4 linked regions of the Caenorhabditis elegans genome follow. The protein of the gene in region 4 interacts with the protein of the main gene of each other region in a pairwise test. Each region holds a gene or a part of one and is shown on either strand. Other genes may lie near its edges.

Region 1 (8,517 bases), on a different chromosome or scaffold from region 4:
TTTTTGAAAATCAAGAGGATTACCAGAGATGTCTGATGTTTCCCAGAGTTATTTATTTATGACGAACAAAATCCAAAGAGGTTGTTCGATGAACCAGACTGTGGTGAGAAGTCAGAGAAAGACCAACACGATCACAGACTTGTTAGAGGTAACCCTTTTTTCACAATAGTCAAACATCAGCTGACATTTCATTTCAATAACAGTCCGTTAATGGTTTCAAATGGTGTTTGACATTTTCAAATCGTTTGAAAAATCGATTCTATTTTAGAAAGCTAGCAAGAAGCCATAATTTGCTCTACGGACATCAAATTAATTTGCTTTGAAAAAGTGTATTTCGAATATTTACATAAAAGTAAAAAAGCTGCCGAATAAAAAAAAATGTTATTAAAGTAGTACTTTTATCTAGTCTTCTTAATATTTTAGAGAAACAATATAGAGAAAACACGAGACATAAAAAATTAAATTGAACATTGTCTCATCAAACAGAAAATATTCAAGAAATATCACATAAATAAGAGAGAACACAGAGAAGCAAAGTGCTAGTCTGTATGTGTAGTCCTTGGTTACAACGTGTACGTTCTATGTGCGGAGAGTGGCGGTGGATTGGCGGAAACAGACGCAAATATGACATATCGATTTTATATGCAAATTTCGATACGTGAAGAGTGTGAAATGATATCAAAAGATTAAAAGGAAACTGGCAACATAAATACAACTGGTGAAAGAAGTTTGAAAAAAAGTTTTGATTGTAAAAAATCAAACAGTTTTTCATGTTGAATGGGCAAAATGCGATATCAAATTTGGAAAATATCAGTATCTTTTGATGCATTGAATGGTTTTTATCGCTGCCACGGACGATCTCCGTTCTCATGCCATTTCTAATAATTCATGCAGTTTTCTCAAACATTGAAATATTTTTATTTGAGTATAAGTTTTGCAGTACAAATTATTTCATTGTAAAACAACAATGAAGGTAAAATGTTTTGATGCCATTGCAAATTAAAATTTTTTTCCACCAGAAGTTAAAATTAGGTACTGAAAGCACGACTAATGGCAAAAAATGTTAAAATATAGTACTTGCTCAACGAATTGAACAGTCCCTAGTCTGGCATATGGGGAAGGCTCTTCAGCTAATTGTTAGGACAATGGCAGTTGTGTATTGTAACCCCTCATTTTTGAAATAAATTCAACTACCATTTATTTATCCATTTTAATAAAACGTGATGTGCATTTTCCCTTTTTAGTCTTAGAAATGGCTATTTCCTAAGCCGAAGCCAACGGTTTTTATAATAGGGCAGCCTGTAAGTGTGAAGCATTTCAGTCTCACCACAACCATATTGTTTTTTTTAAATTAAACTAACAAAGGAAACAAACTATTTGTTAGATTATCAGTGTTATACTTTTATGTTTTTTAACAAGCACAGAAAATATAATAGAGAACAGACCGTTAACAAATAATAAGTTACCAGAAAAACATAATTTAATAAATCTCAAAATTGTCAAACCTCATAATTTACTGATTTAAAAGAAGTCAGAAAACTTTTATTGAAAGAACTGAAATTAAGTCAGCAACTTGAAGTGTACCCTTAATAATCCCTGAATCTCGTGAAAACCGTTCACTTTTCATCTAACGCCAGTTTTTTCAGGTATTCTAGATATCTTAGATAGATATTCAGATTCAGACAATTTCAGATATTCAAAATGGATCTTTCCTGAAAATTTTCCATATTTTCAAACCGATATAAAATACACTTCTTACAAGTACAAACATTTCATTGCACAATTGTAACCACAATTTGTCGGGAAACTGGAAGAATGTAAATTCTAAAGGTTCTTAGGGATCAGAGAGGGGGGGACCGTAAATGTTTATCTCAAAATACAACGCTGAGTAGTTAAATATTTCGAATCGTGCATCAATTCATACTAGAAATTTTCAATAGTTATCACATGATGAGTGGAATGCGTTTAAACTGAGATCATTGGAAATCAAAAGGAAGTTGGTGACTAATTGACAAAGTTTTGAAGGTAGTGAGGGGGAGCAATTGTGCCTATACAGAAGAGTAGATTGAAAATCAAACCGGGGAACAAATCAACACTAAATAATACTAAATAAAGTAACTATATAATCAACAATAAAGGGAGTATATGACATCAGATTTAGGAAGGCAATATAATTCAACAAGTCAAGTCATCACTTCCTCACTTTGCGTGTGATAAAGCTGCGGTCGATGATAATCCGCATCATCGGGCAATGGCGCCATCACACTTGGCAGCATATGAGCATTGAAGACGAGCACGGCAGGATCAATGTTTGCAAGGTTGGGATCCATGGATACGGGCTCTGTGTGCGGATTACAGTCCACCGGTATATCCACCGTTTGATAGTCGTTGTAGCAGCTTTCCGGAGCGATGACTTCTGGCGAGCTGTATAGTACCGGATCTTGTTTGATTTCTGTTTTCACAAATGGACGAAGACCGCCGTTGTTTTCCATGACACCTGGAAATTCAGCTTGTTGAATTTTTATATGCATTAAAAAAAAAATTTAATACAGGTTTTTCTACAATCTAGATTAAAATTCCAACTACGTACATTAGTTATTTTATTGCGTATTTTTATTATTTGCCTAAACAGTCAATCGAAAATAATTTCAGTATTATTATATTTGAATATCATATTAATTTAAAACAAGGACTTTCTTATTAGAAATGTTTTTATCAAAAGTTGATGAAAATTGAATAATTAAAAATAAAGATAACGATCTAATGGCGATTGTATTCATACAAAAAGTAAAAACCCATATTTTGGATTCAATTTAACTTGTGTGTCAAAAAAATACAATATTATTCTGCACGGAAAAAACCCCTTTTCTTGAATTCCAATACGCTTTTAACAAAATTGTCATCTCTGTTTCAAACTCTTGTTTCCCAAAGGTCATATGTTCAAAAACATACTAATTGCGGTGAATCTCTTCAAATTCTCAAGCAGGTTCGGATCGAATTTCAGGACGTTTGTGTTGCACGGCGCGTAGCACAGTGTTTCGTACCAGAACTTGCTCATGTCACAAAACTCGAAGAGCTTCGCCACTTGGAAGTCTTGGCAATGCATGTCACAGATGAGCTGAAAACGTAGAAAATTGAAATTTATTGCACAAAGTTGGAAAATAAAATCTTACCTCAATTTCTCCTAATAATAAAATCATTTGTCCAAATCGTAGGGGAGGATCCGATGTTCCATGCTCATTGTACCAGTCGAAAAGTCGATTCATTGCCCAATCACGTCTCTGCTTCATCACTTTTCTCGTGTCCTCCGTCACATGCTCATTATCTGCAATGTTTTGAACAAATGTAAGAATGCAAAATCCAATTTTCAACTTACTCGTCACACTCCACAGAAGCATAATGTGCAGAAACACAACTTCTGCGTCGTTCACCTTCATCAGCACAAATGGACGGATGACGTTCTTCCAGAATCGGTTGAACGTCGGCGCGAAGGTTCTGCAATGTCTAGAATTCAAAAACGAGAGGCGTTGTGTTCTAGTTCTCAATGCGTCAGGGTTAGGTGACGTTAATTGTTTGACGACATAGGTTAAGTGGTATTTTGGTGATTCGTGACCCCTTTCGGGTGCTTTTAGCTGAAGTGAAGGTAATACTTACTCCCTCTTTGCTTGAATCTGATGTGGATCATCGTCGGGGAGCTCGAATCCGGTCCGATCCGCAGGCACAAATGTAAAGTTGTTCATGACAAACTCTCCACGAGCACACTAAAATAAAAATTATTCTTCTGTTAAATTCAAATTTAGCAACCTACATATTCAGGATGCTTGGAAGCACTGTAAAAATGGTCCAAACTGAGCTTCCGTACAGAATACCGTTTGAGCAGCGATGATCTATCTTCCACCGGCAGTTCTCCGTACGGTTGTTGTTTCTCAATCCAGTACAACAGGCCAGTCAACTCCACAGCTGATAACTTGCTCACATCGAGTGGGTCCATTCGCCGAAGTTTTGGCCCATTACTGTGCTCATCCAGAAATTGTTCAAACGTGGAGAAGGAGAGTTGCATCATGCGTTGATGTTCACCAAACGCGTACACCAGGTGGTTGAACTCCTGCTGCTCGTCGTCATTAGGACTGCTTTGGCAGGACTGCTGGAAAAATTTTTTTCTTAATTTTTTTAAAAATAATCATAAAACATATTGCCCATTTGTACACGATACATTGAGGTTTTGCTACTGTTTAAAAATATGTGCTCATATACGTCCAAAATCGGCCACACTGTAGCTTCAATGTTTACTCATTTTCAAACAAAAATTAAAAAACGAGTATAACATAGCTTTTTTCACAGACAAAAGTTGTAAAAGCGACAAACTTTTTGAAAAGGTTTTAAAATTATCGATTTTTTACATGACAGTTATCAGTTTTTTAAGCGACACCAGAGTTATACCATTGTAGTAATTTATTCGCTACCTTTTCTGGAGCAGAACTCGTGCTTGGAATTGGCTCATCATCCAATTCAATTTTGACATATTTTCTATATCTGTCTGGCGAGTTCGAGTAGTCTGTGGAGATTCGGCGTGGTGTTGCAAACCCATAATCTGTCCTGATAGCATCAACAATGAATGAGTTTGATGTCGGACCATCCGACGAGAAGCTATTGCCGTTTCGCTCCAACGGGCTATTGTTCATGGACATCATCTCACCAACGCCTCCGGCACGTTTTCGTCGCTCTTTCTGCGAGCCAGTTGGGTCACGACGTGGCTGGACAGCTGAAAAGATGATAGTTTCAACTCATTCTCACCAGGAAGTAGATATTTGCTTGTTGGTTGCCGAAACTTTCAAGGTGCTTTTTGCTCACTAACCGCCAATTTTCATTCCCGCTTCGATGCATTTGGTGAACCGGCAAGATCTGCAGGCACATCGTCCATCCGGGTCAATCAGGCAAGTGTTAGTGTGCTTGCAGCGGTACTCCTGAAAGAGCTTTGAAAACGGTTATGGTGAAGTTTAAATATGGTGTTGAGATTTGGAGAAAGGTATTATATTCCAATAGAAAACTAATGAACAATATATTCTAAGTCTAAAGATGAAATTAATATTATCATTAATTGTTTACAGTTTTGCTCACTAGTCAATAAACTCAGTATTTTCAAAATAAATCTATATCTCCAGAACTATAATTATTTGTTTCGTTTAGCCACATCAAAGTTATACACAACTAACTAATTTTGTGTATTAGCTTCATAGATCGATTTTTTCTCGTCTTGTTCTTACTAAGTCAATAACAAAATTTTTATCAGTAAGAAAACCAAAACCAACAGAGCTAGCCATCTCTACCCTCCACACGTGGTGTGCTACCATTTTCCTCTCATCATTGATGCCTTTGCCGGGGGAACAAGGTGATCTTAGATCGCTAAAATGAAGAAACAACAGAAAGCCCAATGAGCTTATGGAAATGTTTGCATACGCTCTTCACAGACGAGTTGTAAGATCAAGAGTGATTTTTGTGCAGCAGCCATTGTGTTGCCACAAAAAGAGCAACAAGACATTTTGAGTTTTGAGACTGATCAAAAAACAAATATAAACTCCTATCTAGTGCTACCTACCGCCTTCTCCACAACAGTTCGTCTGAAAAATGCGTTGCAGGAACGGCAGCTGATTGCACCATAATGAAGTCCATCGGCCGGAGCTGAGCATACCATGCACTCCTGGAATAAAAGTTTTCTTATAAGATTTCAAATTTTCTCATGGAAATATTAGTTTCATTAATATTACAAAATATTTTAATATTTGAAGTTAAATAGCTTCCCTCATATTTATCATGTTATAAAAAAGTAAAAGAGCTCAAATTTCAATATTTGGCTCTCTCTGTAAATTTTAAATTTCGTTTTTACTACAAAGTTCTATTTGGTTTTGTTCAAAGCATTGCACATACATCATCATCTGAAATGGAACAGAGCCCTCTTTTGTTAGTCATTCATGAAAAAATGACAAAATTCTCACGAGCATTCTTTTATGTGCCATGCCAACTTTTTGGTTGCAAGAAATTATAAAAATTGAAGAAGCCTTTTTTCCGTATTAAAAAATTATACCTGCGAGTTATATTCATCCTTCATCATCCAATCCGGTGATTAATCCTGAATTCGACAACTTCAAGACCGCTGGGCAGCGTGGAGATGTTGTTGTCTCCGACGGATCGACGACTTGTTTGTCACCGGCTCCTACTAGCTGGGCGGCTCGCTTTTCAGCTGGAGAAAAGAAAACTAATTCAGAAATGAATATGTGCGAGGTGGAGAGGCAAAGAGATAAATGCAAAAAAAGAACGGGAGGTGATAATATGAGAATTTGGATGGAAATTTGTTTTTTGATTGATATAAATATAGAGAATCTTGCCAATTTCTAACACAAAAATGATTTTTTTTTTCGATTACTAAGCACACAATAACGGATGTTCTATGAAGGCAAACATCACAAATTTTCCCAGTTTTTGCACGGGTTTTGATATAAAAATATTGAAAATCTATGTCAGGAAACAGTGCATTTTCAAATTGAACGCGACGTAATCGCTCGAATTAAAAAGAACAAAATAAGAGGGACGATCAATCAAAAAAACGCAATGAGTTGCGACAACTCGATCAAATGGTGTTTGGTGTGCAAGGTGGGCATTCTCAATAGGGCGCACTTTCAGTTGCCGCGTGGCAAAGGTTAGTTGAGAAGAGGATGGCGACTGTGTGGCAACAGTTTTGCAAGTGAGAGAAGTGAGAGAGAGAGAGAGGTAAAAGAGAGCGTAAAGAAAAAGGGGGAGCAAGAAAAAAGTTGTTGAGTTGGTAAAAAGAACAATTGCCTCTTTTGATAACCGTGGACTTTGATTATAAAAAAGTATTTGCTGGTAAGTTTACGAACTGCAAAGAATTAGAAATATTGTATTTTTCACGCCTTAAAAAAATAAATCGCAAAAAATTTCAAAACCAAAAAGTTGCAATCTAACTTTTCCTATTATGAATTTCCCTCGATTTTTATCAGTTGTGCCCCGCTTAAAAATGATTCCTTTGATATTTCGACCATCCACAAAAAGCAGAGAAGACTATCATAAAGTGTCAAAAAAGATTGTACAATCACGCGGAATGATTTTAAGCTGACGAACTGAAGACAGTCTCGAAAACCTTCAAGCAAACAAGTATGGCGTTGATGACGGTGGTGATAGTGGTGAATGTGGTGAGAGTGAAAGTATTGTCATGATACTGATCAATGAAAACGCGGAAAATCGATTTTAGAATTGCAGTTATTTCAATTAATCCTATCTTGACTCGACTATGGTTTAAAGTTGAACAGGAAAATCGATTGACCTGCCACCATATTTGGTAATATGATAATATGCATTGAATGAAATAAATGCAAACAATAAAATTTTGTTCGGCAAGACAACTTTGATAAGATTTGGTGATTGATCTTTCGAACTTCAAAAAGTCATTTATATGCATACAAATTAAAAAAAAAAAACAAAAAAGGGATACAAAGAGTATAATAATAATGTGTGGGTGGTTTGTGAAAATGTTGAACAAATCACAGGAAAACCATGCCCGGTAATAGACAAACATAAGAGAGGAACATAGAGAAACATTCTCCACAACGCAAATGATGGCATTTCCGTTTGTCCCTTCTTTCTCTATTTCTCTCTAATATTCCACTTTAATTTCTAACATAAGAAAAGTACGCTGTTCCGGAATTACCGAAAATTGGAAGAAAATGGAAGGGAAGGAAATCGATTGGCAGGTGTTGGCGGACAAGAGATATAAATCAAGTGGACAGTACTTTACAAGGAGGCGCCGAGACGCGAAATAGCGATAAATAATAGAGAGTGATCAAATGTGTAGATAATTGTGTTACACGATTCAACTTTTTAAATTTTTTTCTTTATTCTAAAGTGTAAACACTACTATCAAAAGTCTGCACTGCAGCTTGAATTATTTATACATTGTTAAAGGTTTTAGGTGTAATCTAAATATTACTTCACATAAATTGCAAAACAGTAATCCTAATGATGGAATATGTATTGTATATTAAAAAGTTGATTAGTTGTTGCATTACTTGACTAAACATTTGAGAAAATTACCATAGGATTGCTAACATTTTCAGAGCTCAATTTCAATGTATTGATGCCATAGATTTATACAGGGTAGTCTATAATTACGGACCACCCTGTATTTCATTTCCACTCGAAAAAGTTTTTGATAGGCCAAAAGTTGAAAGGGCTTCCGTTTGTTACCTTATTTATAATTGAAATACAGCTAACCTTTTTTTATCATATGAATTTTCGGAATAGATCAATTTTTTAATCTCAATTTTACATTTTCATACTTGATTTTTTTTTCGAACAACTAGAACAATTAGTTTCTACGTTAATTCTATCACAATAATTAAATCAACAAGAGTCGGCGTAAGATCAGAAGAAAGTCTCTAAATCATTTAGTATCTCACGTAAATGTGATGACTTTGATATATCACCAAAACGAAAAAAATCAGCTAG
Region 2 (5,442 bases), on a different chromosome or scaffold from region 4:
ATTAAAGTCGAAATATTTTGGAAAGGGAGATATACGATCGCAAAATATTAAAAAATTCCTCAAATGCTCTGAAAAAATAAAGTTCCAAAGGAGTGTTTTTAAACATCTCAAAGAGTCAAACTTTTCAGTTAGAAGAAATTATGAATCTTGCAAAATAGGCATATTACTAAAATATTTACAAGAATTTTATCACCTCTTGGTGAAAGTTCAAAAATATTAGTTTTTCCAATTTGAAAAAGTTCCCTCTATATGCAGAATCCAGCAAAAACGTTAAGCTTATAAACGTTACCAGTGAAATTGATTCCAAGAACAATTATGACTAAATTCAATAGATAAATTAATATAAATAAGTATTAAGGTATTTTGAAAACAACTGAACACGACCTCTAGTCTGCGGTTTCGAGCAAAGTATCAAATTAAGAAACCTTTGTGAAAAGTAGATGCAAACGATAATATTAGTAGGAAACTATAGAAAAAGAAGAAGAAGCCGAAAGTGTCATTCAAGTAGAAACAAAATAAACATAGAATTTAGACCACCAGAACACATCGAAAAGAGAGCAACTCAAAACTTTCGAATGGCTTGTTTTATTTTCGAAAGAAGAAAAAGAAGAAGTTGCAGAATAAGAAGTAGAATCTCCATGAAAACATTCATCATCTACGACTATACGAGGGCAAGCTTGACCCAACAATACAAGGGACAATGAACCCCCGAGAGTTCTCGGCCTAAAACAAATTCCGTTTTTTTTTTCTGCAAGAGCTGGTAGTTCCTATGCCGACCAACAAATCTGCGTCTCTTTAGAAACGGCGGCCATCGGCGATTAACACAAAAATGAGCGCGAAACGGGTGAGAGTGGAATTTGCATAGGAAAGTGTCTGCCCATTATAAGATATCCGGAACAAGTTTGAGGGGAAGAAATTCGAATGCAATCAAGTTTCCACGACCTCTTCCGAAAACGAACGAATTATTATATTGCCATTCGGTTTTGTATGGAAATAAATGACAGATGACTGGAAATAAATGGACAGGTGGCAGTAGTTGTAGTAGTAGTACTAAACGGATGAAAATTGGAAGAGGAAAAAATGAAGAAGGAGAAGGAAAGAAGGCGAAGGACGCTTTCGACAACTGAACCCCATGGGAAAATAATGCGTTTTAGGATTTTTGACACAATTTTGCCTTTTTACTAGCTTCACTCATGGAACATTTAGAATCTGTAAGCAAACATGCCAAACTTGTTATTCAAAACACAAAATAAATTATAAAAGAGGCATGAAAAATTCAGTTGGTAATTCCAGAAATGGTGTGGTGGTAGCTGATAAAAGAAGGCATTCATTTTCAGAACATTCATAATTGTGTTAGAAATAAAACTTTTAAAAACGTGATGTTTTTCAAGACGGAAAAAATTTTTCGACACGAAGTTTTTAATCGTTTTCATGCACAAGTTTCACTTCGAATAATGTCAATACTCCACGGCTTCGGAGCAGGTGTGTGGCAATAAAGAATGTACTTCAATCAGTAATTTTTGAATCAATACAATTTCAAAATTTTATTCAACTATTTACAATACATCACTTGAGTGCCTAGTTTTAATTAATACAATCCGTTGTTTGTCCAGTGTATTGATTGGCCAAATTCAATGTTCCAATATCATAAGTTTTGCTTGGAGTCTTTCCAGATGAAACATAATTATCTGGAATAGTGATTCCAATCTTTTTGTAGCAGAGACCATTGTAATTGCATTTGTGATAAATGTTCAATTTTGGATCAATAGTTGAAATTTCAGTTTTTGATCCAGATAGTCGGAATTGTCCATTGGCATCTGAAGTTGCTTCTTCCAAAAGTACATCAAAGGCTGGAAAAAATTTTAATCAGAAACTAAGTTTCAGATTCATAACTTACTTGATTCTTTTTCATAAAGCTTCAGTTTAACTCCAGATGCTGGTTGTCCATTACAGATAACTCTTCCAGATACAGCAACTGACTGTGTTCGGCCAACACCCAATAGAGCATAACTTGTAGAAACAAGAGCAAATAGCAAAAATAAAGTAGTCGGGGAAGAGCACATTTTTAAATTTGAACTGAAATTTTGTCGTCTCAACAGTTATTTATATGGTAGAAACGGTAGGTGTTTGCTGAAGAAAGGAATGAAAAAAGAAAGAGACATTGCTATTTACACAATTACTATTGGCACACAGTACGAAAAACCATTTATTTTCAAATGTTAAATACTCAAATACAATTAAAGTTTTCGGTGGTTTGTCGCTGAACTATATCGGTTCCTTATTTACTTCTTAGTTTAAACAGTCTGTAGATTGGCCTGGGAAGTTGTTGGCCAAGTTCAATGTGCCAATGTCAAAAGTTCGTGATGGTTGACTACCGGAAGTGACGTAGTCCTTTGGAATGTGAATTGTGAATTTTTGATCACATAGCTAAAAACAAAATTACCAAAATATAAAACAGTGATTCTGAAATGTCAATAAATAATTTACCCCGTTGTAATTGCATTTGTGATAAACATTTAGCTTTGGGTCAATAGTTGTGATTTCTCTTTTCGATCCTAACACTCGAAATTGACCGTTCGAATCAGTACGCCCCTCCTCCATCAATCGATCGAAAACTTGAAAAAAAATTTTAAATCAAGCAATCAAAATATAATTGTTATGCCATAGTGGTAGTGGATAGTAGTTTGAAGCAAGATAATCTATGATATTGACCGATTTTCTGATAAAAATGGAGATTCATCAGTCGGTTGTGTTAGAGCATTAAAAACGTATCCTTCATAGAATTTCAAGAACTGTTTTTTTAATTTTTATTGAGAAAGTTGCCCTTGCTATTAGAGTCACTTGTGATTTTGAGAGATTATTTCTAAGACTCCAAACAACTGGATTTTTTTTTCGAATTACAATATAAAAAACATTTGTATGTATAGAAAAAAAATTGTAGAAAATGATTGAAAAGCGACTTACATATTTCGTTTTCATACAATTTAAGCTTCACATCAACCGCAGGTCTCCCGTTACAAATCAATCTTCCTGATACAGCAGCTGATTGCATACTTCCAATTCCTAATACATCCTTTGTAGCAATTGGATCGTTTTGTCCAAGAACGAAAACGCATAACAGAGAAAAAACTAACATATTTATGAACATTTTTCAATCCAAACTACGCTTTTCTCTCATATGTCAGGACTATTTAAACTTTTTTGTTTCACATTTTTGAAATGGCAAACATTGTTGCCCATACATGTGTTAAGTGATTTTTGTTTGAGAGAAGATTTTTCTGTGTTTAGAGACACTTCTCGAGCTCTCGTACTTTTGGTCTTTTGGTGGTTTTTGTTGATGAGTGAGCAACACATGGTAATAACAAAATGGTAGCTAAGTCAACATAAATTTCACAAATCTCATGTTGAGTCATAAAACACTTACAGACATTTCTTGAACAATTTTCAAAGATAATTCACCTTCGCACTGTGTTTTCTGCTTTGTGAGCACGCAGGTTTACACGCAGGTTAAAAAATCGATTTTTTTTATTCACAGACTTCAAAAAAGTGTATTACTAGTCAGAGGAAACACGAAGTATTATAAGAACTTTATCATACAAATTTTGCCAACCGATAGTTGCAGGTTGACAAAAAATTCAGCTTGCAGAAACCGGCAACTTGTGAACCAGTGGTGATGTCAACATCAAATACATATATTATTTGTTTTGAAAAAAGCATTCGAACATCATGGAAATTGCAAACAACTCACTGTAAATAAAAAAGTGAATAAATTTTCCTTAAAATACTCTGAAACACAGGTACTAGAAAATTAATGTTAGGCAATTGGCAAAAGAACGACAAAGTCCGGAAAAGTTACCGAAATATTTAGACAACCGACAGTTTCGTGTGAATGAAACTTTTCAGCACCTTCGGCGATAATGGCCAGTTGCTTAAACTTTTGGTTGCCGCATAGCCCAGCTATGGTAACTTTGAGTAGCCCAAAAAATTGAGCCACAATCAATATTACAATTTTTTGAATTATCTTACAGAATAACTGTTGTCTGACAAGAAACGCAGCGGCTGAAAAAGTCAATAATACTTACTATTAAATTCAATTATTCTACAAGACCTGCTCATGAATAGTTTATTTGAAAATATGTGTAATTAAAAGTAACCAAATCAATCAATTAATACAATCGGTAGATTCTCCTGGATATTTGTTTGCCAAGTTTAGTGTTCCTATATCGTATGTTCGTTCTGCTTGACTACCACGGTTGATATAATCCTTTGGAATTTTTATAGTGAATTTTTTGGAGCACAACTGAAAATTCACATTTAATTTAAAAAATTGACAAACACACAAATCTAACCCCATTATAATTGCATTTGTGATAAACGTTGACTTTTGGGTCAATCCTTGAAATTTCTCGTTTTGAGCCAGAAACTCTGAATTGTCCATTTGAATCTGTACGGCTTTCTTCCATGAGTCGATCAAACACTCAAATGTAATATTTTTTCGGAAGGCAATTTCATAGTAGAACTTACGAATCTCATTTTCATACAGTTTGATCTTAATATTTGTAGCTGGTCGTCCATTACAGATTAGTCTTCCAGAAACAGCTACAGCCTGCATTCTTCCGATGCCGAGAAAGTTTTTGGTAACAATTTCATTGTCTTCTTGGCAAAAGACCAATGTCAAGGCGACAAGAAGGGAAGCTAACCTTATGACCATGACGTGTTAAACTATGATTTTCACATGTTCATTTTGACTTAAATACGGTTTTGTCTTTGCTTTCACATGTGCAGTTAAGTCAATATTGGGCGGAGGTTACCTACAAAGTTAATACGATTTTTCTTTGTTTGTTTGAAAAGAAAATTGTTGTTGTTCATCACAGTTTCTCACTTTTTGGTCTCTATTTGATATGAGGGATGAACAATAATAATCCACATTACACAGAATAGATAAACGAATTTGAAAATAAAATCGAAAAGCAGAACTCCAATTTCAAAAAATGGAGTGTTTGAATGGATTTGCACAAAAATCGACTTGGCGACAATTTCTTCGGCCAAAAACCTCTGGAACGAATCAAATCTGCTCGCTGTAGTATGACGGGAACGCTAAATTTTGAGATTTGCGTTTTGGGCAACATAATTGACGCGCGAAATATCTCGTAGTGAAAACTACAGAAACTCTTTACTAGGTTACTGTAGCGCTTATGTCTAATTACGGACATCGTTTATTTATCGATAAAATATCGAAAGAAAGCATAAAGTATACGAAAAAACTAAAGAAAATTAAATATCGTTGCCACAATTCGAGCAGAAAATTGTTTCGAAAATCGAGCCCGTAAATCGACACCAGCGCTACAGTAGTTCTTCATAAAATTACTGTGGTTTTCGCTACGAGATATTTTGCGCGTCAAATATACTGCGCAAAACGCTTTTCTCGTAATTGTGTGTTCC
Region 3 (7,122 bases), on a different chromosome or scaffold from region 4:
TTGTTTGTATTTAGTACTCTAGTTTTACTAAAGTAAATACATATTAAAAAGTTTATTCGCCTTATGACCGACAGATTGAATGTGCTATTTTTTCCTGAAACTTAAAAGTTTTTTTTTTCGGATTTTTATCTGGTCTCAAAGTTTTTTTGTGTTTCTAAGTCCCGTTTTATTGTAAGACAGTTTTGATTTCTGCTCTCGTGTTCTCAGACACAAAAATATTTCAAAAATTTTATTTTTTATTCACCGACGATTAAATTTTAAAAATACAGTGTTACGTGAGAAACAAAGTTGGCATATAAGTTAGTTGTAGAACTTATTCAGATAAACGGATGTACACTTGATTGATACCACTAGCTTATATTTGTATACCTAAATCTTTTGGGCTGGAGTTGGCAGTCAAGATCATGATTGAACTTTATTGTGCAATTGCCCCAGAAGAAGATAGTCCTTGTAAAAAAGAAATCTAACAAAATTTTAAAATTTTATATCAGTACGATTACGGTATTTGGCAAACGATAATTTTTCAAACAACATTTTAAACTAGTGAGAATTAATAAAACTTACTTTAGATACTTAGATACTTAGTCGATCCGTTCTTCGCCTACGGCGCGGAATTGTTTTATTTTTCTGAGATGTAGGATAAATAGTTGGCGTACTGGAAGTGAAAACACTGTATTTGGAAATACTATAATTGACTTAGTGGTTGTGGCTCTTTCGACAAAAACGCCACTTTATTTCAAAACAACAAAGTCCCCATCATGATCACTGAAATAGTCAAAACTGCATAGTTTTAATCAATATCATGTTACTCCAATATAGTGTAAAAATACCTAAAATCACGTTTTCATACATAGGCACATAAACTTCAAGTCAAACTGATGCCCTAAAAATACACCAGATTAGAAAGTTTGGGCAACAGTTGATTCAATCAGATCCAGATATTGTTTTTAACTTGTTTAAAATGTGTAAGGATTTAATGTTCTATTTTTACTAACTAAGTACGCATGAGACAAATGTACTTTTTTTTAATTTTGAAACCACTTTTACATGTTTTTTGGTATCAATTGTTGAGACGGCTTCGTTTTTTCTCACTCTTTCATTTCTCTAAGCAATTATTTTTAATTTTGTTGTTAAACATACTTCGAGCTAAGAAATCGTTTTTATAAAACCAATCTTGACGCAAATTTCAAATCTCTTTTTTATGGGGTAATTCCCGGAAAAGAAAAACAAAACTAATTTCAGAGCAAATCATTATTATGTTACACGAACCCGGTAACAAAATTAAATCGGAAACCCCGTAGGTAATTCTATATTTTACTCATAGCCAAAAGTTCAAGTTCTAGTGCAAATGCTGCAAAAGTGTATATATCCGTTCTTTTTTTTCCAATTCCTTGCCATCGAGAAAAAGAGCAGTTTCTAACCGAGCTGCCAGGTGCCATGATTAATCGCCGTGCCAAGATGAAAAGATTGAATCCATTCTCTGGATTGCAATTCCCATTTCATTTTTCACTAAAGAGGATTTTTGACCTCAGGAATTTTTTGTGCTCCCGCGGTCTTTCCTTCACTTTTTCTTTTTGCTCTTTTCCTCCTCGTCATTCCCGACTTGCATTTTTCTTACGGCAGGAAAACTATAAAGGAGCGGAAGGAAGAAGGAAGGAATGAAAAGAAATATTAGGGAAAATACACGATGTGAACCTTTTTTTATTGTTTCCTCTTCTTTATTCTCCAATCGACAACTATCATACTCAACCATAAATCGCCTCCACTCAAAATTCCTCTGGTTCTGAAAACGATATTTTCTGATTTTTGAGCCTTTGTGGGCAAACAAGGCGGAAAATTTTCGAGAAAAATGGAAAATAAAGAGCGATAAAATTAATTCGATTTATCACAGGAACGGAATTCTTTTTCAGAGTCCTTCCATTCATTTCGGTATCCCACAACCACTTTCTGACATTCGCATGCTCTTTCTTTTCTGAAATTTAAGTGAATTTTTCATCAATTTTCACTTTTCTATTTTCCGACTTTCCAGTCGTTCTAAAACTGATTGCTGCGCAACCTCGTTTTGTCCGGCTTCTCCAAGGTAATGCAAGGCGGTCCGCAGGATGACCAGCACCAAAAGACGCTCTTCAAATGGGCCTGACTCGGGAGACAGAGGAAGAGGAGAATTTCCTTCCCCTTTTTTCCCCATTCCCACAAATCAATCCTCCTTTGTTCTGTTTTGACACCACTGCATGCGTTGCGTACATACGTGTTTTGGATGTTGTTTTTTTCTCGATGAGTTACTAATGTTTTGATGATCTTGTCGGGATCAAGACTGAGATGCCAAAGAGCAAGATCAAAATTTTGTAACGTTGATTTGATTGAGCTGATTCAGTCCTAACTGTTTTTTTTACTTTCTAACTGGACTCTGTGAACTGAAACTGTTGTATTACTCTAGATTCAATATATTTCAATCTACATGATAAAATGTATACGCGAACTGTAGCACTAAAATAAATATACTGTTTATATCTAAATTATTTTGTAACGCACAATTTTATTTCCCTCATTTCCCTATTTTAAGTTTTCTTGTAAAAAATGACCAGCGTAATAAAATGTTCAAGCTTGTAGATCATTGTTGCTGCTGATGGCTGTTGGCTTAAAACTGAAACAGAAATTTCAAAACCTTCTGGCATGTTCACGTAAAGATCCAAATAATAATAGGAATGTTCTTGAGGTTCGGTACCAAAACAAAGATTCCGAAACCGGAAGTAAAGTTTTTTTAAAATAGTTTAATTACAATCTACTGTATCACGCTAAAAATACATCATTGCTACTAACGTTAATTTAGTAGCGTAGATAATTTTTGAAATGTAGGCATTGTCTGAATTTCCAATTTTTGCGTATCTGCATCCCACTCTTTGTCTTCTCCCGGCCCATTTTCTTCTTGATATATGAAAATATGTTGTTGATTTTATGAGAACACACGTCTGAACAGTTATGATTGAGATAAAATAATTTCAAGTCTTTGCTTTTCTTCTTTTTAGAATGATTAGATACTACTGATATATTCCTTTTTTTTCAGAATTCGTTACACTTATCAACCTGCAATCTGTGATACCATATCCGCCTTATAGACATAACACAATGTGGTTTAATGGAGGACCACCGGGACCACCTCCACATGGTCCTCCGCCACCTCATCTTCTTCACGCACTTCCACATCCAGCATACCCGCCGGGTCATCCACTTCACATGCCAGGAATGACAATGATGCCCATGGGTCCAGTGGGTCCGCCGATGATGGCAGGGATGCCTATGAGACCGATGCCACCACTTCCGCCAATGACACCAATGGGTTCGATGCCACATCCAAATGATGGTGGTCCGCATCCGATGATGCTTCCTGGCGCGCCGATGACTCAACAGCGTCAGAGGCCTGGTATCAGAGGTACGTTGCACTCTTGCACACTTCACACATAACTGAACTCATTGTTTTTTCTTGATAAACTTTGTCTAGCTTGAGTTTTGAAATTTCTAACAAACTTACATGGAGAGAATGTAAAAGGTTCTTGTTGCTCAGCCATTAAATTGTTAGTTCACAGTATTACATTGCTTGATGATCTTAAGACTCACTGAATAGAAATATCTAGGAAATAAACTGTGATATTGGCAATAAAACGAGTTTCAAAATTATGTTTATAACCAAACTTCTGAACATGTTAGTTTTCATGACCACAAGGGGAATGATAGGGAAATATTATCAAATTATGTGATATAGGAAATTCGAGAACAGTTACGTCCCTGACGTTGATTTCAAAAAGTTCTCGTCGCATTAGTCTGGAATTTAGTTCTTACGTGTTATCTTTTCCCCAGGTGAATGATATTTTCTAGCTCTTTAAACTAGATTTTCACATATTCTGAAAAGAGCTTCCCCGATCTAAATGTCTCACTATATCTTTTTTTAGATGATGTGTGTGAGAAACCTGCAATTTCAAAGGCGCTTCAAAAAAATCCGCACAGCCTATAATTTTGTGATTTTCTAAATTGCGCATGTCTAATTATAGTCTGCTACCAGATGTTTCAGTAATCCTTCCTGTCACGGATTAGCCTTATTGGATTTGTGCAAGCTACGAGGGGTTTCTCGAAATGCGAGATTACGAAATTAGACATTGTTGATGTATTTATGTTATGATAACTTGAGGTGACTACGTAAAAACTAATACAAGATGTGTTTACAGAAATGAGATTAAGCTTACCTGCAAGTATATAACACCATGAAAATCCGGGAAAATGGCAGATCAAATGATACGCTTTCACTTGCTAAATAATAGGCTATTCTTGTTAAAAATTGAGCATACCTTTATTATCTTATGATTGCTGCTTTCCAGCATGCACAGATTTCTGAATTATAATTTTAACGGAAACTAGAAATATCTCAAAATGCTGTTAAACTTCCACGTGTTGGGATATGAATCTAGCAAATATATTAGGAATCTCTCACAAATTTCTAATCCACACCATCAATATAGACAGCTCCTTTCGGGGTTTCAAGCTTTAAAAGGCTCAGATGGTTCTATGTCGGTTTTCAAAATACCCCTTTTAGGGTTAAGTTTTTCAGAATTGAATTGCCTTTTTGAAACACCACTTAATCATCTATGGCAACCCACACTCAGAGTCAGTTGAGCAGTGATTAACTGTGACTTTCAAATTTTAGCTATCAGAAATTTATCAATCTGTTTCTTCTTTAAGATAGCTAACTTCTCTACATATATGTGAACACATATGTTTGAACACACGATTATAGTCGTATTACGAATTGTTGTACAAAAACTTATTTGTGTAGTTTTATTTAAAGTAATGCATGCAGATGCAAAAATTAACCAAAGATCTGATCCCTTCTAGGAATACAAATTCTGAAAAGAATTATCGCTTTACGTAAGGATAATGTCAGATACTGCGATCAGAATACGTGTAGACACGAGCATATTGAAATCATGATGACTCCAGGCTAAATTCAAAAATTTACGTCGATCATGAATATTTGTTTCAATGGAATTTACTAGTTAGTCTAGCTTTAAAAACTTCAAACTCAAATTTTAGGTAAACAATAATTACCGTCTCATATAATATTTCAAAATTTCAATTTTATAAGTAAATACTAATTATACCAGTCATTATTAAAGAATACACTGTATTTTTCTGGAAATTGAAACTCGTGTATTAATTCTGTTAGAATATTTGCGATATATGTATATATATATATTTTATTAATTTTCTGATTATCTTTAGAAATTTTTTTTTGAAAATCTTCTTGATAAACTCGTTTTTGCAAACATAAGCTACACAACCCAAAATCCATTCGTACTCTGGTCATGGGGAACTGGATGCTGACTACTACACAAAATGTGCTTCACACCAATCTTATATCTTATCACCATTTATCTTTTTCTACTCTCCTGTATCTTCAAATGATCGATCACCAAAAAAAGTAGCCCGCAAGCCAAAGTCCGTAGGTACTTTGACCTTGACAGTCTCTAATTGATTCCTTGTACACACGATCTTACTGTAACCCTAACAAAAGTTATCAGTTCGCGCTGTCCCACGGCCTTGATCACAGTCACAGGAAGATGGGCGAATGGAATCTAAGGTAACATAAAATACGCTCGACCATCTGATGATGGACGGAATTAGGTGGGAGGCTGGGCGGCCGCACCATGTGATTGATTCGAACTTTGTAGTCTTACACACGTTTGCTTCGATTTAGAAACCGAGAGAAAAATAGAATTTTGCCGAAAAATGAAAAACAGTAGATGGGAGGAGGGATGAATTTGTCTTCTGTCACTTTTTTCTCTATTTCCCTAGTTCCGTTATTTTTCCTAGCGTTCAATTCTGATTTGCAACTTGCCAATAATGTGAGGTTCCTTTTTTGTCCCAAGCATGTTTCACTGATCAAATGATTGCCTTGTCACCGCAAAGATCAAGCACATATTGCTCCCTCCGTCTGTACCTCGCTCCGTTTATTTGTACGCTTTTAATGATTGAGAGGTTTGCAGAACGCGGAGGAAATGTTTTCGGAGGAAAAAATAGCCCTGTGTTTTTCTGATCTTACAATTCGAAACAAAAAACCATTCCAATTTTCACAAACTAATAATTGTGAGCAATTTGGGTCATATGTTTTAGATTGTTGTGAGTAATTAGAACCAATCTATTTTACAAAATAAACTTCAGTATAATTTTTGTTTTTTTAATTACAACATTCCAACGGTGAGACGAATTTCGGTCACATTTCCAATGCAAACACCGCAAGAATTAATGAGCGGTTTACACAAAAGATATATCCTAGACAAAGCTGAACAAAGGTTCAATTTTGAAATAAGTAGACAGCCTAAAATAAACGTTGACACTGTGTATCGTTTACTGGAATCTAGCTCCATTTTGGCTCAATTTGGATCGATACTATATTTGTTTTGTAATACTTAACAAAATATTATGCAGGACGAGACTACGGCGAGTGGAGAGATAATTGAAACCCATTTCTATGATGCTAAATGACTAATAATGATTTTTTTTAATTGGAAAATTTTTTTATTGCCGAGCTAGGCGAATTTGCCGAATTTGCCGAGCACGTGTAATAGTCTAGATAGTTGAATGCTGAACTTTTCAATCATAATTAGAGCATAAATTTAGAATAAATTATCATTACTTATATATTAAAAAATACAGTTCGTCTGTCCATAGTTTGTAGTCTATGTAGTCTTTGTAGTTTGTGACGTCACACCCAAAGTCAGTGAGAGTTGTGGGCGGGGCCTGTCACCTTCGTGGTGAGACCCATCGTGGTGAGACCCTTCGTGGTGAGACCCATCGTGGTGAGACCCTTCGTGGTGAGACCCATCGTGGTGAGACCCGTCGTGGTGAGACCCTTCGTGGTGAGACCCATCGTGGTGAGACCCTTCGCGGTGAGACCCACATTTTTGGCGGGAAATTCAAACTTTCTGTGAAAAAAATTTTGGCGGGAAATTCAAATTTTCAGTGAAAAAAATTTTGGCGGGAAATTCAAATTTTTAGTGAAAAAAAATTTTGGCGGGAAATTCAAATTTTCAGTGAAAAAAATTTTGGCGGGAAATTCAAATTTTCAGTGAA
Region 4 (9,173 bases):
CACGCGTACTCTCAAGATCATTCAAGTTCGAGTAAAAAATGGGGAGAATGCGACAGTTTTTTTGAACTCGGTGAGCTGCACAAGATTTTTTAGATTTTTTTTTGAAATTTCAAAGATCTTCGCGAGAAGACTATAGTTACATAGACTCGCAATGATACAAAATTTGAACGCTCAGTTAATTAAACTATGAGAAATGTCTGATTTTGTTGAGATCCGCAGATAAGACATGGGCGAGAACATTGAGAAAGCTTTGCTTTTAATAGAATTTACTTGAAAATTGAAACAATTGCTAAACTCTGAAGACTAGATCCACAATGTTGATGTTTAGTGAATATATGAGTGATGGACAATGACTCAATTCAAATATTAAGCCATGTCTACAGTTCTATATTTGAAAACTTGTTTGAACTGATTTTTAATAGTTTTTGAATGATTTCTGTATATATTAGATGATGTGATAGTTTTGACTGTTGTTTTATGGACGACAGTCATGAATTCAATAGTGTAGGTCAGAAAACGATCATCGTATAGTTAAAGTTGCACAGTGTGTAATACAGATGTTAACCCTACAACTACTACAGTAATACTGTCAACTTCTACAGTAATACTGCCACAAATTTTATGTATTGGTGAAAAATATTGAGACATGAATCCCGCAAATACTAGAACCTTAAATAAATATTTTCGGGCTAACTGTCCTACATTTTTACGGATTTACAATATTCTCTATAACTTGAAAAATTAATTTCTTTTGAGGTCTAGGAACAAATAAAGATTGAGTATAGAAAAAAGTGAATTGATAGACATGTAATGATGTATGCCTAGGTCTCACCACGATGGATTTTATTCCAAATTGAAGCCACAAAAATGTGTGCGCCTTTAAGTAGTACAGTAACCAACTTTCCCGAAGTTAACCTTTTCTTCAATTTTTGAAAATTTCTCTCAAGTTCTTAATAGAATTTTCTCTTAAAAATGATTGAAAACTGAAACAAGTTGTTACGGTACTTTTTAAAGGTTCACATTTGATTTTAAGAACAGATCTTAAAGAAAGATAAAATGTTGACCGTTTTGAAATCTACTACTAATTGTTAGTTACCAAATTCTTGTCTCAGAATGGAAAGAATATCAAAAAACCAAAACAAGCAACCCAAAAAAACTAAATAAAATGTCCAAAACTGGCTGAAGTGTATGTGCTCCAAGAGGTGTGAACTCACCCACCTAAGCCTAAATGCTCACAATTTCTTCATCTTCCCTCTTCCAATAGACATATCATCACTTTTACCCCGTTATGTACACTGTTCGGATCATTGAATTGATCTCAAGTGTCTTGGGAAATGGTCATATATCCACTATCATTTAGATGATCGTGTCAATTGAAATCAAAACAAAAATCATCAATTTGAAGAGTTTTAGAGAAATAAACAATTTAAAAAAATCTAATTTTGAAAAAAAAAACTAAAAAGCTCAGCTTCACCTCCAGCAGCTCACACCAGGTGCTCAAACATTTGGAAAACAATACTTTTTGTAAATTCTTCTAAATTTCTAAATTGCAATAAAACTTACGGTCTTGGTGGAGGTGGTGGAGGACGTGGCATTGAACTTCTCGAGTGAATTCATAATGATGAGTCAATTGTGTTTATTTGATACGAATAATAAAATATGGTATAATAATGTATTTTATCGATGAGCTTTGAAAAAGTATAAATAAAAGTTTCTTTTTGCAAACATAAATTGGTACGAACGCTTGAAAAGAAGGAAGGAAAATGGGAAGAAGGGAATCTTCTAAATAGAGATGGGAAATGCCAAGACAGTCACTTCTTATACATATTGAAGTACTAAACTGATAATTTGATTGACAATAATAATCACAAGAATAAACGAGAGCCAGCCCGTCTGGAAAAAAGATTAAGGAAGAAGAGTTGGGGGAGACGAGAACAATAACCTGATATGATATAGAGATGGCCTAGACAGGTTTCAAGATGAAACAACTACTGAGACGGAAGGGTATTCTTCTTTTGTTATGTACATTATAGCTGGGCTCTGGACTATTTTATAAATTGGGGGTAATGATTCAAAACAACAATAAGGGAAAAGATGAAAGATCACAGATTCGGAATAGAACTGGAGATGAGATGAGGTGAAGAGTTTTGGGAGAAAAAATGGAATTATTAGAGCATATGATTATTCTGCTCACTGTTCAAAATGGAATCTTGTGATTGGAGAGGATGAATTGCCAATGGAGCTGCAAGAGTTGCTGAGAGCATTCCAGTTGGTGTAATTCCAGAAACAGACGAAACACTTCCCACTGATCCGGCTGGATTTAACGGAGATACCTGAAAAATATGAATTTTGAAATGGAAGATCTTTTTTAAAAAGAGAATTTTACGGTTTTTCCCTGAAATCATTGGCCGTTTTCGCTATTTTTGTATTTTTTTAGAATAAAAAGTTTAATAAAATAATTAAAAACAAACCCCATTAGTCGGTAACGTTGTCGGAGATGAAAGATGTTGCTGTAAAGAGACCGGAGCCGTCGAATGATCATTGATGTCGTCGAGAATGAACTCGGAGAGCAGAGAATCCACCTGAAGCTATCATTTATGTACGGATTCAAACAAGAAAAGCTTTCATACCTCTGCCAATCCGAAGAACTTTGTAAGTGTCATATTCTCAATGAGCAGCTGAGTCAGAGCCTTGAGAGCCGGTGCCAACAACAAAATATTTCCATATCTTGTGGGTGCGTCATCTGGCATCTGATCGAGAATGAATGCATAAAGAGCTTTCAAAACACGATTTCTAGCATCACGAATCATAATCTGTGAGCTATTCGAGAGTCCTTTGGCTTCTGGGTGCAAGAATGCAAGTGCTTTCAAACATACAAATTCTTGTTCTCTCATCTGAAGTTGTCGCATTGGCCAGACAATTTCATCAAGAACTCTGGGTGTTATATTGCTTGTTTTGAATGCAGCAAATCCATTGAGGTCAGTGTTATTGTCACGTGTCATATAAGTATTGTTGAAGAGACAAACTCGAGTTGTATCGGGACTTCGAAATGCTGGCATCAAAATGAGATGTTGTGGTGCATAGTTTTTCAGTAGAATGATCTTATCTTCCATCGAAAGATCCATGAATGGATTAATTGTTTTTGCCCATTCAACCATCAATAAAAGTGTTGTCCTGGAGATTTCATTCAGATCCTGAAAATAAAACAATGTGACCTCTTAATTTACGTACCATCCAACTCACTACCTCGGTTGTGCATGGCCGGTTTGGTGGTGCAAATGCCGATGCTCCAGAATCACTTCCTTGTTGAATATCTGTGTCATTTCCATTCGACCCCCCACTGCCGTTTGCAAAGATTTGCGATCTTCGGTATCGATTACACATCTCTTGATTGACACGAGCCTCCATCTCCATTAAAGCATCAATGACACTGCTGGATTGTGGAACTGTTCGCATATTCTCTTGTCCCATACCGTTTGATCCGACACCGTTGCTGTTTCCGTTCTCGTATCCGGGGCTTCTGTCTTTTTTGAATGGAGTCCCGTTGAGACTGGCTCCAGATGTTGGTGAACCTACAGGATCACGTTCGAATTGAATAGCTGAAATATATTAAATTGTAGAATTGATCGTGGATGTGATTCAGATGATAGAACATGGACCTGAATGACAGAAAATAGTTGTTAAAATTTGTATTTTTGAATTCCCACGAAAATGAATGAAATATAATTATAGTTTACTATATTTTCGACATTTTTGCGTTTTTCGGTAATGTTTATTGTGGCTTTGTTTCAATATAATTTTTTGGTAAATTTAAAAAAAAAGAAATCATTCAAAATTTAATACAATTTTTAACAGTTATGTTCTGTCATTATGACTCTATTTCTTCTTTAAAATAACGAATTAAACATGAAAAAACATCCAAATTTTAAACGTATGTAGAATTAGATACGATATTTTGCTCCAAAATTATTTTTTCTAGATAGAAAACTACGAAACAATTTTTTTTTAGAAATATCGTGTTTTGAAATGGAATCTACGGACAGGAAAAGGAAAGAAAGAAGAATATATTCTAAATTCTGAGTTAACGGGGCAAATTTCCGAATCAATATCTCAAGTTAGAATCTTTTTTGCGGCCGATCTCATTTCACGGACGAAATTGAAAAGAGGTCACTGGTGAAAAACATGAGGCCACTGTGTTTTGGATATATTCAAATATTGAACGGAAAGAGAAATGAATACCTTCTCGTTTCATTCCAACTTGTACACACTTTTGAAAGCGACAATAACGACACGCGCATCGAAAGTTTTTGTCAATCACACATCTTTTGTTGAAACGGCAAGTGAACTTCTGATCACGAAGAACTGTTCGGCGGAAGAATCCCTGAAATTCATGAGTTTTATTAATGCGGGATAAATCATTAAAAAGTTCGAGATGATAATCATAACTTTCAAAAACCAGTTAAATTAATACGAACTTTTGCAACCATAAAGTACAGTACTCGGTCTCGTCACGAACAATATGTTTTCAAATAAAGCATGCGCGAAAAGCGTGGGTTACTGTAGGTGGAGTCAATATTACTTTGCTTTAAAGTGAGGAAATTGTTTTTTAAAAACTACTCCTGTGGTACCAAAGTTAACAAAAAAAGTTAGAAAATTTTTATTGACAGTAAAAACTGGCAATTACAGTTTTTGCCACTTTTTGAGAAAACTATAGCCCTGTCGCTTATCGAATCCCTATAGTGTTTGATTATTAATATTTGAAACATAAGTAGTCCATAAAATTATAAGGAAACAATTTTTTTGATCAACGACTTCCAAAAGTGGCAAAAACTGAGATTTTTCATTTTTCAAAAAAGGAAAAAATATAATTTCCAAAATCATTTTTCGTGACGAGAACTGAATTTATAATTTCACATAATTCTAAATATAATTTATTTTTTATTATTTTATAATTTATCCCTTCTCACCTTACACCCGTTGCAGGAAATGACTCCATAATGGGTTCCAGTTGATTTGTCACCACAAACGGCACATGGTTCCGCAAGAGGATCTACTAGGTCCATGACTGAAACAATTAAACTTTTTACAACAAAAAAAACAAATGAAACACGAAAAAAACCAAACAACAGATAGCAACGCAAGTTTTCAAAGTGAAAGAGAAACGACGAATGTCACTTGTTCATGGAAACGATGAAATAGTGTTGGAGGTAGAGAGAGTGTCAGACGAGTAGAGAAATCAGAGTCAATGCAATGGCTTTAACACATGATAGACACACAAGAAATAAGACAAAATTTAATATAAGTATTGATAAGCCTAATGTAAAATGTCCTGACGATACGGTGGATTAAAAAAAACGATTTGCCGTATCTATTGCAAATCGACTATGACGTCATAGTGTTTCAATGGTGTCTTTAGGAGTGGAACGCATGTTGTCTTAATAATAAAGGACCGGCAAGTGCACACAATTGAGATGCATTGACCACTAGGCAGATGAATGGGCCGCGTTCAGAAATTGTAGGTTTTATATTAGACCTTATTGGTGAGGATGTGGAGATAATTCAGCAGCATATAATTAGAATTTCCACTGCTAGAAGGACAAACTTGGTACTTTCAATTTATTGTTTCTGAATATAGAACAATTTTGAACGTATATTCAAAAAGACCGAAGCTCATGTAGAATGTTTTTCAATAAAGTATCCTAATCGAGTCCAATAAAAGTAGAAATTTGAACATTGAAAGGGCAAGCCGAAACTTGATAGCTCGGAAATTTCGAGCCTCCCAGTTTAGCAGATGTAGTGTAGGACTAAACGTGTTGCTATTGTAGCGAAAGTAGAGAAGATTGAGAAATCATCCGTCTTGAGCAAACAAAAGGAAACGCGAAGATCAGAAAAGGACTGATGTGGCACACTCTAAAACTGGTCGATGTGTTCGGCAAGATTCCAGTAGTCTTTCTCTCTCTCTGCTCACTCCAATGAGGTATTCTTAAATGCGGATGCTATTTCAAAGTCTTCTTGATCAATCTTGTCCGACGGATCGAATAAGATAGACGGTCGCGCTAAGTAGTGTCGTTCCTTTTCTCTCCAAGATCGTAAGATCTATATCTAAGGAGCGAGGAGATGTAATGCATCGAATAAGTGACCGACGAGGATCCAGTTGTAGGGTTTGGTAAATTCTGGTAGAAAATGAGGAGACACATCGAAGAATGACGTTCTAAGAGAAAGGGCATTTGAATTACTTTAGAACTTTTAGAAGAGCCAGGTTAATAAACTCAAAAATGTACATATTATTTGAACGTATAAAAATCCATATATACCCATATAGTGGACTTTGCAAAGAAGCCATCCAAAAATCATTCTATTAATTTCTGGATTTCAATGAGCAAGTCGCTGATTGGTTTTGTAGTTCTCAGTTTGGTGGAAAATTCAAAAAGGCATGAAAGTCGATATTTTAAAAGTTGACTTTCTTTCAATGTCGCTTGATGTGTCCGTTATAAAACTTACTTACAATCATCTGAAGATTCTTCATCAATTTGATTCAACTGAATATGTTTAGAAGCATCAAGAAAGTAGTCCATATCGTGAGAACGGAATGAGTTGACTAACAAAATGATGAGTATATACAAGGAGTTTGCGAATCACCCCATATAAACAGGAAGTGAGAGACTACATTATGTAGTTCAGTGTTGTTCGATGCCCCGTACTTTGTACTCTCAAAGCTAATTGGGACCGGCGTCGTCTCATTTAAAGTCAGTCATTAAATCTATGAACTTTTGATTGTGGAAAAAAGCTGAACTACTGGCAAACAGAAAGGAAACGAAAAAAAAAGAAAAGAAAATGGTGAAAAAGAAGAAGAAGCTAAAGCTGGCAGGCCAGTCGGTTAGAAGGACAAAAAAGAGACAGTGGTTGGTCAAACATGTCGAGAAATATGAAAAACTAGAGAGAATGGAGTTGACAGAGACACCAAACAACGACAGCCAACCACCCACAGCACGTTGACAATCGATAACAGGAGAGGCGCAGACCTTTAGAGATGAATAGATGAAAAGAGGTAGAGAAAGATTGTAAGAAAGTTCCTCTCGACCCTCTCTCCCGTACTACGCTATACCCATCAGGTCGTTGACACCACCACACGTGAATGAAACAGTGTTAACCGAGTGAAATTAAAATGTTTCAGATATGCCTTATATGATAAGTTAACATTTTTGGAGCAAATATTTTCGAAAAGTTCAAATTGATGATTTCAATTTAATTATTTCTTTGAAAAAAACGAACAAAAAAAAACAAGTAAAACAATCAACAAGATTAAAATGTGTCAAAACCGGAAATTCAAACAACAAAAAATATCACGAAACTAAAAAAAAATTATTTATTCTTTTTCAAATTCCTCTGCTTCTCCGCCGACTCCACAATCAGGTCCTCGGTTGGCAGTCCTTTACGTCTTCTAACTGCATCCATATATCCTCTTGCATGATTCGGACTGTCTCCCTTCAATCCGAATTCTTCAATTTCTTCCAATGTAGACGGCGTCCAGTAAGGATCCTCGTCAATGACTTGCCAGTGAGAAAATTGAAGTTGAGCAGAAGCCATTCCAGATGTGAACTTGCGAAGTTGATCACAGAAAGAGAACGATTCGACGACGGGCATTAGGGAGACCACTTCGAATAAATTTGTAGCTTCATTGATGTCCTCGGAGAGTACCTGAATTCAAAATTATTTTTTATTTAAAATTTAGTATTTATACAACGCCATTAAAGTAATAGTCAAAATTCGAAATTTTTGAAACAAAATGCTCATATAAATGAGATTGGATATACCGTATTTATTTGTTTAATCGGCACACTAAACCATAAAATCTATTTAGATTATAGTTGGAAAGAAGATTCATTCATTATATTCTCTCCATATATACGTTATTTGCACAGATGCGTCGAAAATTACAAAAATTAAATACTTCGTTCACATGCTCAATGGGCAAATCACATTAAATATTGACATGGATTTCAGGTTTATATTCGAAAACAAAAAAAAGGAAATTTTCGAAGCCGAAAAATTGAAAAAAAAGGAAAGTTTTGTAAATTTGAAATTATATATTGAAAAACTTAAATATTTTGGTCAAAATTTAACTTTTCATAATTTCGAGTGTCATTTTTAGAGCTATATCAGAATATTTCGGATTTTTTTTTCGGAAAAAAAATTAAAAATTAATTTTTTGTAAATTTGAAATTTTATTTTGAAAACTTGAATATTTTCATCGAAATCGCACTCTTTCTAAATTTTCTAGTGTTTTTTTTTTTTGAAAACATGTAAAATTTAAATTTATCAGTTATCAGGATTTTCGGTTTTTAAAATAGAATCGTTTTTTTTCTTCAAAAAAGCGAAAAATCTACTGCCCTGATGGATATAAATATTTAAATTTATAATCTCTAACTATATTTGAAAATGTTCTACAATTCTCCATTCCTACTTTCGATTTTCTTTGTGACAAAACGGCATGAACTTTTCCCAATGCCTGACTGGCTGTAGTTACAGTACACCGGTACATGGCAGCGACAAGGCGGAGTGCAAGTTTTTTAGCAGCAGCAGAGCATGAAGCTTTTATTGCAGTCATCATTTGTCCTCCAATAGCTCCATCTTCTTCATCAACATTCCATTCTTCAACAATAACTGCTATTCCGTGCATAATTTCATTGCAAAGTGGTCCAGTATTACAGAATAATTCAAATCCAGCGACAAGTGCTTGATCATATCTTCTAACACCAAATTCTGTTTTTCTCCAAACGGAATCTCTATCATAATTTTGAACATTATTGAATAGAATATTGGCTCTTGCTCTTTCTGGTCCAAATGCCCAAATTTGATCAATCATTGATTCAATCACTTCCTTCGGTTTTCGAAACCACCAAGATCCTTTCAATGTTGGAAGCGTTTCCAGACAAACGGATGTAAATCTTTTTTGGAACTCATCAATTTCGGTTTGATCGGCTTCTCCTCGACGAATCGATGAAATTAACGAAGAATTTTTGTCGAGCAACTGAAAAATTGAAGGTTCCTCGGCAAATCGCCGCAACTTATCCACCAACTTTAGCAACTTTAGAAATGCCAAGTGCAAAAGTTGCTAAATTTTGGTAAAAAAGTTGCTAAAGTTGGGCAAAATAGGTTAAAGTTGGGGATGC

What was found.
Region 1: the proteins of nhr-49 (region 4) and nhr-71 interact in a two-hybrid assay, tested with the Caenorhabditis elegans proteins (4 studies listed by BioGRID).
Region 2: the proteins of nhr-49 (region 4) and ttr-27 interact in a two-hybrid assay, tested with the Caenorhabditis elegans proteins (2 studies listed by BioGRID).
Region 3: the proteins of nhr-49 (region 4) and scd-1 interact in a two-hybrid assay, tested with the Caenorhabditis elegans proteins (2 studies listed by BioGRID).

What each region holds. Positions count from the first base shown.
Region 1 is NC_003284.9:13,745,036-13,753,552, reverse strand, and holds nhr-71 (Nuclear hormone receptor family member nhr-71), read right to left. Parts: upstream 6,107-8,517; coding exon 6,083-6,106; intron 5,699-6,082; coding exon 5,597-5,698; intron 4,974-5,596; coding exon 4,856-4,973; intron 4,763-4,855; coding exon 4,464-4,762; intron 4,145-4,463; coding exon 3,809-4,144; intron 3,762-3,808; coding exon 3,655-3,761; intron 3,505-3,654; coding exon 3,377-3,504; intron 3,326-3,376; coding exon 3,174-3,325; intron 3,119-3,173; coding exon 2,953-3,118; intron 2,498-2,952; coding exon 2,184-2,497; downstream 1-2,183. UniProt on the Caenorhabditis elegans protein: Orphan nuclear receptor.
Region 2 is NC_003283.11:12,902,021-12,907,462, forward strand, and holds ttr-27 (Transthyretin-like family protein), read right to left. Parts: upstream 2,079-5,442; 5' UTR 2,064-2,078; coding exon 1,898-2,063; intron 1,851-1,897; coding exon 1,585-1,850; 3' UTR 1,530-1,584; downstream 1-1,529. Other genes in the region: ttr-28 (Transthyretin-like family protein), read right to left, coding at 2,290-2,427, 2,488-2,615, 2,965-3,148; ttr-29 (Transthyretin-like family protein), read right to left, coding at 4,163-4,300, 4,350-4,477, 4,525-4,711.
Region 3 is NC_003284.9:12,521,726-12,528,847, reverse strand, and holds the start of scd-1 (Suppressor of Constitutive Dauer formation), read left to right. Parts: upstream 1-3,126; coding exon 3,127-3,430; intron 3,431-7,122.
Region 4 is NC_003279.8:9,867,120-9,876,292, reverse strand, and holds nhr-49 (Nuclear hormone receptor family member nhr-49), read right to left. Parts: upstream 6,576-9,173; coding exon 6,506-6,575; coding exon of another isoform or gene 6,502-6,505; intron 5,066-6,501; coding exon 4,968-5,065; intron 4,382-4,967; coding exon 4,240-4,381; intron 3,600-4,239; coding exon 3,244-3,599; intron 3,195-3,243; coding exon 2,631-3,194; intron 2,583-2,630; coding exon 2,472-2,582; intron 2,334-2,471; coding exon 2,169-2,333; downstream 1-2,168. Other genes in the region: K10C3.5 (Elongation factor-like 1), read right to left, coding at 7,363-7,698, 8,465-9,031.